2 linked regions of the Macaca fascicularis genome follow. The main gene of each other region encodes a partner of the protein of the gene in region 2 in a complex. Links are inferred from orthologs where the notes say so. Each region holds a gene or a part of one and is shown on either strand. Other genes may lie near its edges. The genes, in order: GATC and GATB.

Region 1 (4,406 bases), on a different chromosome or scaffold from region 2:
GCCTGGCCAATGTGGTGAAACCCCATCTCTACTAAAAATACAAAAATTAGCTGGGCATGGTGGCGGGCGCCTGTAGTCCCAGCTACTCTGGAGGTTGAGGCAAGAGAATTGCTTGAAACCGGAAGGCAGAGGTTGCAGTGAGCTGAGATTGCACCACTGTATTCCAGCCTGGGTGGAAGAGTGAAACTGTCTCAAAAAAAAAAAAAGGAATGGACTTTTTTGGCCAGCACAGTGGCTCACGCCTGTAATCCCAGCATTTTGGGAGGCTAAGATGGGCAGATCACTTGAGGCCAGGGGTTCGAGAACAGCCTGATCAACATGGTGAAACCCCACCTCTACTAAAAATACAAAAATTAGCTGAGTGTGGTGGCGGATGCCTATAATCCCAGCTACTCCGGAGGCTGAGGCACAGAAATCACTTGAACCTGGAGGGTGAAGGTTGCAGTAAGCCGAGATCGTGCCACTGTACTCCAGCATGGGCAATGGGGCAGAGGGCAGGACTCCATCTCAAAAAAAAAAAGAAAAAAAAGTTAGACTTTCTTTAGGAAGTGGGAGGCTGAGGCAGGAGAATTGCTTGAGACCAGGAGTTTGACACCAGACGGGGCAACATAGCAAGACCCTGTTTCTACAAAAATTTAAGAATTAGCCAGGTGTGGTGGTGCACACCTACAGTCCCAGCTATTTGGGAGGCTGAGGCAGGAGGATCTCTTGAGTCTAGAAGTTTGTGACCAGCCTGGGCAATATAGTGAGACCCCATCCAAAAGGAAAAAGAAAATTGCAAAGTAGAGAAGAGATTTGAAAGAATCAAACACTGGGCCAGGCGCTGTGGCTCATGCCTGTAATCCCAGTACTTTAGGAGGCTGAGGTGGGTGGATCACCTTTGCTCAAGAGTCAAGCCTGGAGAACATGGCAAAATCCTGTCTCTATAAAAAATATAAAAAATTAGCGGCCGGGCCCGGTGGCTCAAGCCTGTAATCCCAGCACTTTGGGAGGCTGAGATGGGTGGATCATGAGGTCAGGAAATCGAGACCATCCTGGCAAACACGGTGAAACCCCGTCTCTACTAAAAAGTACAAAAAAAAAACTAGCCGGGCGAGGTGGCGGGTGCCTGTAGTCCCAGCTACTGGGGAGGCTGAGGCAGGAGAATGGCGTGAACCCGGGAGGCGGAGCTTGCAGTGAGCTGAGATCCGGCCACTGCACTCCAGCCTGGGCGACAGAGCGAGACTCCATCTCAAAAAAAAAAAAAAAAAAAAAAAAAATTAGCCAGGCCTGGTGGCATGAGCCTGTGGTCCTATACTTGGACGCTGAAGTAGGAGGATCTCTTGAGCCTGGGAGGTGGAGGTTGCAATGAGCTGAGATCATGCCACTGCACTCTAACCTGGGTGATAAGAGTGAGACTCCATCTCAAAAAATAAAAATAAAAGGCCGGGCGCGGTGGCTCAAGCCTGTAATCCCAGCACTTTGGGAGGCCGAGACGGGCGGATCACGAGGTCAGGAGATCGAGACCATCCTGGCTAACACGGTGAAACCCTGTCTCTACTAAAAAGTACAAAAAACTAGCTGGGCGAGGTGGCGAGCGCCTGTAGTCCCAGCTACTCGGGAGGCTGAGCCAGGAGAATGGCGTAAACCCGGGAGGCGGAGCTTGCAGTGAGCAGAGATCCGGCCACCGCACTCCAGCCTGGGTGACAGAGCGAGACTCCGTCTCAAAAAAATAAAAAAATAAAAATAAAAATAAAAATAAAAATTCGAGGCAGGAATGCAACCGGAACCAAATCTCATAAAGTGCTCACATTTTAATAAAAGAGATATAACAAATGAACAAAAGTCCATTAAAATGTTAGAGGAAAAAACCCAATAGGATGTGTTACTAACCAGAAGGGGAGAAGGGATTTGCAGTGGTTAGGAAAGCCCTTTCCCAGAAGATAAGCTGAGACCTGTGCCAAGAGGGAGGCAGCCATGCAAATACTGAGAGGCAGGAAAAAACGAAGGGTCAGTGCAAAGATCTAGAGAGGGAAAGAACTTGTCTTGCTGGAGACGCAGTCAAGGTAGCCAAGGAGGGTACTGAGAAGAGTATGTCTGAGTGAGCAGGCAGGGACTCTATGGAGTAGGGGCTCAAAGGCGATAATTAGGCCAGGCGCGGTAGCTCACGCCTATAATCCCAGCACTTTGGGAGGCCGAGGCGGGTGGATCACGAGGTCAGGAGTTCAAGACCAGCCTGGCCAAGACGGTGACACCCCGTCCCCGTCCCCGTCTCTACTAAAAATACAAAAAAAAAAATTAGCCGGGCGTGGTGTCAGGCGCCTGTAATCCCAGCTACTCGGGAGGCTGAGGAAGATAATTGTTTGAACACGGGAGGCGGAGCTTGCAGTGAGACGAGATCGCGCCACTGCACTCCAGTCTGGACTCCGTCTCAAGAAAAAAAACACAAAGGCGATGATGAGCAGTTTGGGTTTTGTTTCTACTTACACTAGGACGACACGAGCGAGAGCATCCGTAATGAACAAGGGGAAGAGTGAAGCCACTGACTCGCGAGGTGACCGTGGGCAAGTTCCTGAATCTCGCTAACGCTCTTTAACCCCCTGGAAAATTGTTCGCTAATCGTCACATTAAACGGCTGCGAACGGGCCACGCTCAAGGCTTCGGGGCTGCAGCCTCGAGTTTACCTGTCCTCCAGGACCGACTCCATGGGCTCCACCCCGTCAGTGTCCACCGCACGTAGCCGGTCGGCGAAGGCGATAGCTTTCTCCAGTCGCGCCACTGCCTCGCAGCTGCCGAAGTCCACAAGCGCTAGACGCTCCAGGTGCTCGATCACCTGGGCCGTGATCCGGCCACTGCCCTGGAGGAGGAATGAGGCACGGAGTGTGGTTCACCGGCGCCCCGGTGTGCCTCCCGGCTTGCTCCGCCACCCGCCTAGATGGCCCTGGCCTTTACCTGAGGATCCGCCTTGGACGTGAAGCCCTGGCGCCCGCCCAGAGGGGCCCGAAGGCCCAGCCACACCAACCGCGACCACATTTCTTCCTTCCTTGGCCCCCGTAGTGCGCCCGCGCGTAACGCCGAGCGACGCGCCTAAGAGTGATGACATCAGAGTGCGCTGCCGCCGCCGCCGACACCACTGTCGCCATGAACAGTGTGGGGGAGGCATGCACGGACATGAAGCGCGAATACGACCAGTGCTTCAATCGCTGGTTCGCCGAGAAGTTTCTCAAGGGGGACAGCTCCGGGGACCCGTGCACCGACCTCTTCAAGCGCTACCAGCAATGTGTTCAGGTGAGCCCTTCCGCCTCTGTTTCCAGGCCCCGCATTCTCCGCGCTGTGTCCCACTACACTCGTCGTGTTTTATGGGGGTTGGGACTGGACTGGAAGGGTGGAGAAAAGCCGCAGTGAGGTCAGTGGCAGGAGCTCGCTCCCCTATCATCACCACCGAGGCCGTTTGGGTGTCTCCCCGAATGACAAATATTGGTGCAGTGCTTTTGTTTTTAAGACACACAGTCACATCTTTTGGTTCATTTGGTGTTCATCCTAAACTCGCAAGGTGGGTATAGTTACTCATATTTTGTACATAAAAAACTAACACCCAGAAATAGGAAGTGATTGATCCGAGTTCACTAGCACCAGGTTGCCTTGATTCTTTCGCAGGTGGTGCACTTTTCCACTATTACAGCTGAGGTCTGGGCGGGGTTATACTTCAGACTGGAGGATCACATTATTTTGATGTTATAAACCCTTCGTTAGCCTGTTTATCTCTCTTGACCAGTCCCCGCAACTGCAGCTAGGAAATGTTTATTCTGGCCCAATGGATGTGGAACTGCTTTGAATTGTTAGAACAGCACTGGGCAAAGCACTTCCAATAAGTTAACCCAACACATCCTCACAGCAGTTCCCCGAGGTAGTTGCTGTCTTCATCCCATTTAGTTGGTCACATAGCCAGTAAGTCTTTCACCAACACAAAGTGATGATTATTTTTCAAATTTCACTTAATTTTAATGGTTCCCTCACAACTCCTTTTCCAGTCTCCCTCAGGTCTTACACTTGATTTATTCATTATGGTACTTTTGGTTTTTATTTATTTTTGAGGCAGTCTCACTGTCTCCCAGGCTGGAGTGCAATGGCACAATCTCAGCTCACTGGCAACCTCCGCCTCCCAGGTTCAAGCTATTCTCATGCCTCAGCCACCGGAGTAGCTGGAATTACAGGCATGCACCCCCATGCCCAGCTAATTTTTGTATTTTTAGTATAAACAGGGTTTCGCCATGTTGGCCAGGTTGGTCTCTAACTTCTGGCCTCAAGTGATCCACCTGCCTTGGTCTCCCAAAATGCTGCGATTATAGACCTGAGCCACCACACCCTACTGGTACTTGTTTTTTAAAAAGTATGTGGTTTGAATCATGGTTATAAGTCTTTATAAT
Region 2 (3,808 bases):
TTATGGGAGAGCAAAGCAGTACCAGGCCAGGGCAAAGGACATCTAGAGTCATGAGGAAATCGAGTGTGACCAAAACCTAGGATCTTTATATGCAATTTGCAAATGCTTCAAATGTGCAGTCTGGTCCCGAGGGTGCAAGTGTTTCTTTTATTTGTTTTAGTTTCCTACTGTATTTCCACTGAATTTAATTAAGATTTTATCTCAGGGTAAAGTTTGCATAATCTTGGCTTACAGTCAACATAATTTGGCTTCCGCTGTATATGGATGAAAAATCTATGAAAGAAAAGAAACAGACTCAAAGGAAAAGAGACAACTAATGACAAAGTGCTATCTATACGGAACTCACTAACTAAGAACTGTTCTTGATAAACACAGTGTCTTCTTCCTGAGAAAGACTGAACTGTTCAAAACCATTAGTTCATTAAGGGTTTGGTGTGTCTGCAATGTTGCTGGTCATGCATTTATATTTGGTTGTGGGCTCATCAAAGAATCCAAGGAAAATTCTAAAAAACAGGGTTGCAAAAGGGAAAAAAAATGGCTGCAAACAACCTCAATATAACTGACAGAAAATAAAACTAAAGTCAGAGAGGTTCTAGGAGGCAGGAAGGGAGAGGGAAACAAGAAGGCTGCTTCTGCGGCTTCTACCTGCCATGTTTGCCTGGCTGGTCCCCAGGGCTTGAAGGATCAGCTGCAGCTCCCTGACAGCTGTTGCCGCCTCTTCTCCACAGGACAAGTCGGGCTCCAGGACCACCTCCAGAAGGCCCACGCCTACCAAAGAGGGGCAGAGTCAGCCTCACTGCAGTTCTCCAATTTCACCAACAGAAAAATTAGGCTTCAGTTTCAGGAAAATCCTGCCTTACTGATGGACTCTGAGTGGTTCTAGCCTCTCAATCATTTCTCTTCCCTTCCAGCATTTTTTTTTTTTTTTTTTTTTTTTTTTGAGACAGAGCCTTGCTCTGTCGCCCAGGTGGAGTGCAGTGGCATGATCATAGCTCACTGTAGCCCTGAACTTCTGGGCTCAAGTGATCCTCCCACCTCAGCCTCCTGAAGATCTGGGACTACAGGTGTATGGCACCACACCTGGCTGTTAATTTTTTGGCGAGTAGGTCTTGCTATGTTGCCCAGCCTGATCTCAAACTCTGTGTCAAGTGATCCTCCCACCTCAGCCTCCTGAGTCGCTAGCATTACAAGTGTAGGCTCCTACGCCCCACTTTTTAATTTTTAACTGTTTCACTTCTTTTAATGACTGCTTAAAATATCCAGCTGCTGGCTCTGTGACTAGGTGGATAAGTTTGTCTAACTTTAGGGTGAGTTACTAGCAAGCCTAATAATTACAGTTCAAGCCATGTTCGCTAGTCAGCTACGCCAATCCCAATGCTGATATTTTGGTCTCCATCTGTTAGGCTCCTGTGACTGCTTTCTCAATTTGTTTAAGAAAACTCTAACGATGAGAAGAGGGGTCTGCAATCCAAGAACTGAAGTAGGAAGGAGAAGTAATGAAAACACTCCAAGTCTACCTGCCCTGTTCAAATCAATGAGCGTCTGCGACCTCAGGTCGTCGTGGAGGCTTTTGCCACTGTCTTGCTCCAGCTGGATCTGCTTGATCCTCACCGTCTTGGGGATCACCTGACTCTGCTTCTTCCCTGCACAGACGCCGTATGTCAAGCTCCCATTCACAGCAATTGGGAGCCTCTGCTGGGTAATTTGGTAGCCTGCCTGCACACAAACATAGGGTACACACAGTCACTGGCCCACACATAAAAGCTGGGATTCAGTTTACTATCCCTTTTACAATGTCACACAAAGACAGGCCTTCTTAAAGCAAAAACAGTAACAAGAAAAAAAAGGAAAAGGAGAAAAAAATTAGTCGCTGCATTGCAGCCATCATTGAACCTGGTCTCTTCTGCCCCTGCCATTACCCCTTCACCCTCCCCAAATCCTCCACTCCCGATAACAACATAATAAACAACACGAATTCAGCCCATCACCCTCACTAAAGTGCTGTACTGGGGAATAACAATAATATCATTGTCAGGGACCCCTAAGAAAAGAATTTATTGTTTCCATCCAGCTCATTAGCCTAAACTCTGCATCTCATTACCAGGCTCCTGGCAAACCCTCCTTATTCGGAATGCTGGCTAAGCATTTTGCCATCTACTCTCCACACGGCCAACAGCAGTTGCTAGTGTGTGTTTAAGCTTGTTTTGTTTCCGCTTTTTAAAGGAATCAATCATGGCAGCTGCCCTCCCTGACCCAACTTCCCTAGCTCCTCCAGCCAGAAAACGCTGTGCCATTCCCCCTCCGTTAACGGAAGGCACATGCTACTAAAGCACTGATGGATCCTGCAAGGATCCCTCACCTGCTTCTAAGTGGAAAGGAAGAATTACTTTCAAATGCACAGAGGCACCAACACGCACTAAAGAGATAGCAGGTCAATGAGGAGAACTGGAGAAGAACAGAGAATAAGAGCAAAGGCATCTGTGGCATTTTCTAGGTCCCAGGCGCTGCTCTCACTGTGTTCCACTCAGTTAATTCCACAACCACCTTTGGAAGGAAGAACAAGGCACGGAGGGATCAGGACCTTGCCCACAGTCACATACAGAGCTAGTGAGCATCAGTGTCAACGTCTGAATTCAGGTGGTCAGGCTCCAAAATCTGTGTCTTTCACCACTTGGCCAGCCAGCAGTTTAAGAACTTTAACTGCATCAGAAATACTACTGTGCTTGTCAAAAGACAGACTGCTTGGCCCGACCGCAAAGGTTTCCAACTCAGTAGGTCGAGGGTGGGGCCTGAAGATTTCTATTTCTTACCGGTTCCCAAGAGATACTGACGTTAGTGCCCTGGGGACCACACTTGGAGAATCCTGCAAAAGGCTAACCCGTTTTCTATGCTGAGGCGAGAAGTCTCAATTTGTAAAACTAAGCTCTGGGTAGGTTGTTGGATAAAATATAAGATACCCAGTTAAATCTGAATTTCAGATAAACAACAAATGCTTTATTATATGAGTATGTCCCATGAAACTCTAGATTATTTGAACGATCTGGGCCAGAAAGACCAGAAAGCCACAGATGACCAAAACATCTCATTTTAGTCATATTATTACTAAATCTCCCACCTCAACCAAACTGTCTGTCACTCTTAAAAGATAAAGAAAGGTGGTTTAATTCTTTCTGCCCTACCAAACAGTAGACTTGCTGAGAGGCTGGAGGCCAGAGGGGAAAAGCAGCAGCCCCTGGAGAATGCAGTCTTACTTGTATTTTTTATTTAATTCTACTCATGCCCTCACCCACTAAAAAACAGCTCCCCCCAATCTTCAGTTCAAAGAGAATGAGGTAAAACAATATCGTCACTGTTGTTTTTCTGAATCAGACCAAATGAAACATTATTTTGGGAAACCCATTCAACATTTCAGTTTTGTTCCAGTTCGATGGTATGAAAAATTGGCTCTCACTCACATGGTGTGGCTTAAAGAAAAAAACTTTTTAATTTTCAGAAAAAAGCAGGTCAGTATGGAGTTTACTGCTCAGCCAATTACTGTTCTTGGTCCAGGTTTCTGGTTCATGTTTCTGCTTACTATTGTCCACTTACTTGCTCCTTGTGAGATGACAGAAATGTCTCCAAAGGAGACAGCCCTATTATTGGGAACTTCAACTTAAAAGTGAGACGCCCTCGCTCTGCCGACAGAGCTACAGTATGCATTTACTGTTGCATCAGCCAGAGGCTTAGCTTTTGTACTAACAGGCAATTAGCACCAAATACAACGGGCAGGCTGAGCCTGCGAACACTGGCTTCTACTCCCTGTGCAATT

The links.
Region 1: GATB (region 2) and GATC share a complex: the UniProt entries of both Homo sapiens proteins name them as parts of the heterotrimeric GatCAB amidotransferase (AdT) complex. The link is inferred for Macaca fascicularis from reciprocal best matches to the Homo sapiens genes GATB and GATC.

Annotation. Positions count from the first base shown.
Region 1 is NC_088385.1:127,473,214-127,477,619, reverse strand, and holds the start of GATC (glutamyl-tRNA(Gln) amidotransferase subunit C, mitochondrial), read right to left. Parts: upstream 3,035-4,406; 5' UTR 3,013-3,034; coding exon 2,932-3,012; intron 2,837-2,931; coding exon 2,664-2,836; intron 1-2,663. Other genes in the region: TRIAP1 (TP53-regulated inhibitor of apoptosis 1), read left to right, coding at 3,121-3,267. UniProt on the Homo sapiens protein: Allows the formation of correctly charged Gln-tRNA(Gln) through the transamidation of misacylated Glu-tRNA(Gln) in the mitochondria. The reaction takes place in the presence of glutamine and ATP through an activated gamma-phospho-Glu-tRNA(Gln).
Region 2 is NC_088379.1:156,634,159-156,637,966, forward strand, and holds part of GATB (glutamyl-tRNA(Gln) amidotransferase subunit B, mitochondrial), read right to left. Parts: intron 1,717-3,808; coding exon 1,518-1,716; intron 769-1,517; coding exon 646-768; intron 1-645. UniProt on the Homo sapiens protein: Allows the formation of correctly charged Gln-tRNA(Gln) through the transamidation of misacylated Glu-tRNA(Gln) in the mitochondria. The reaction takes place in the presence of glutamine and ATP through an activated gamma-phospho-Glu-tRNA(Gln).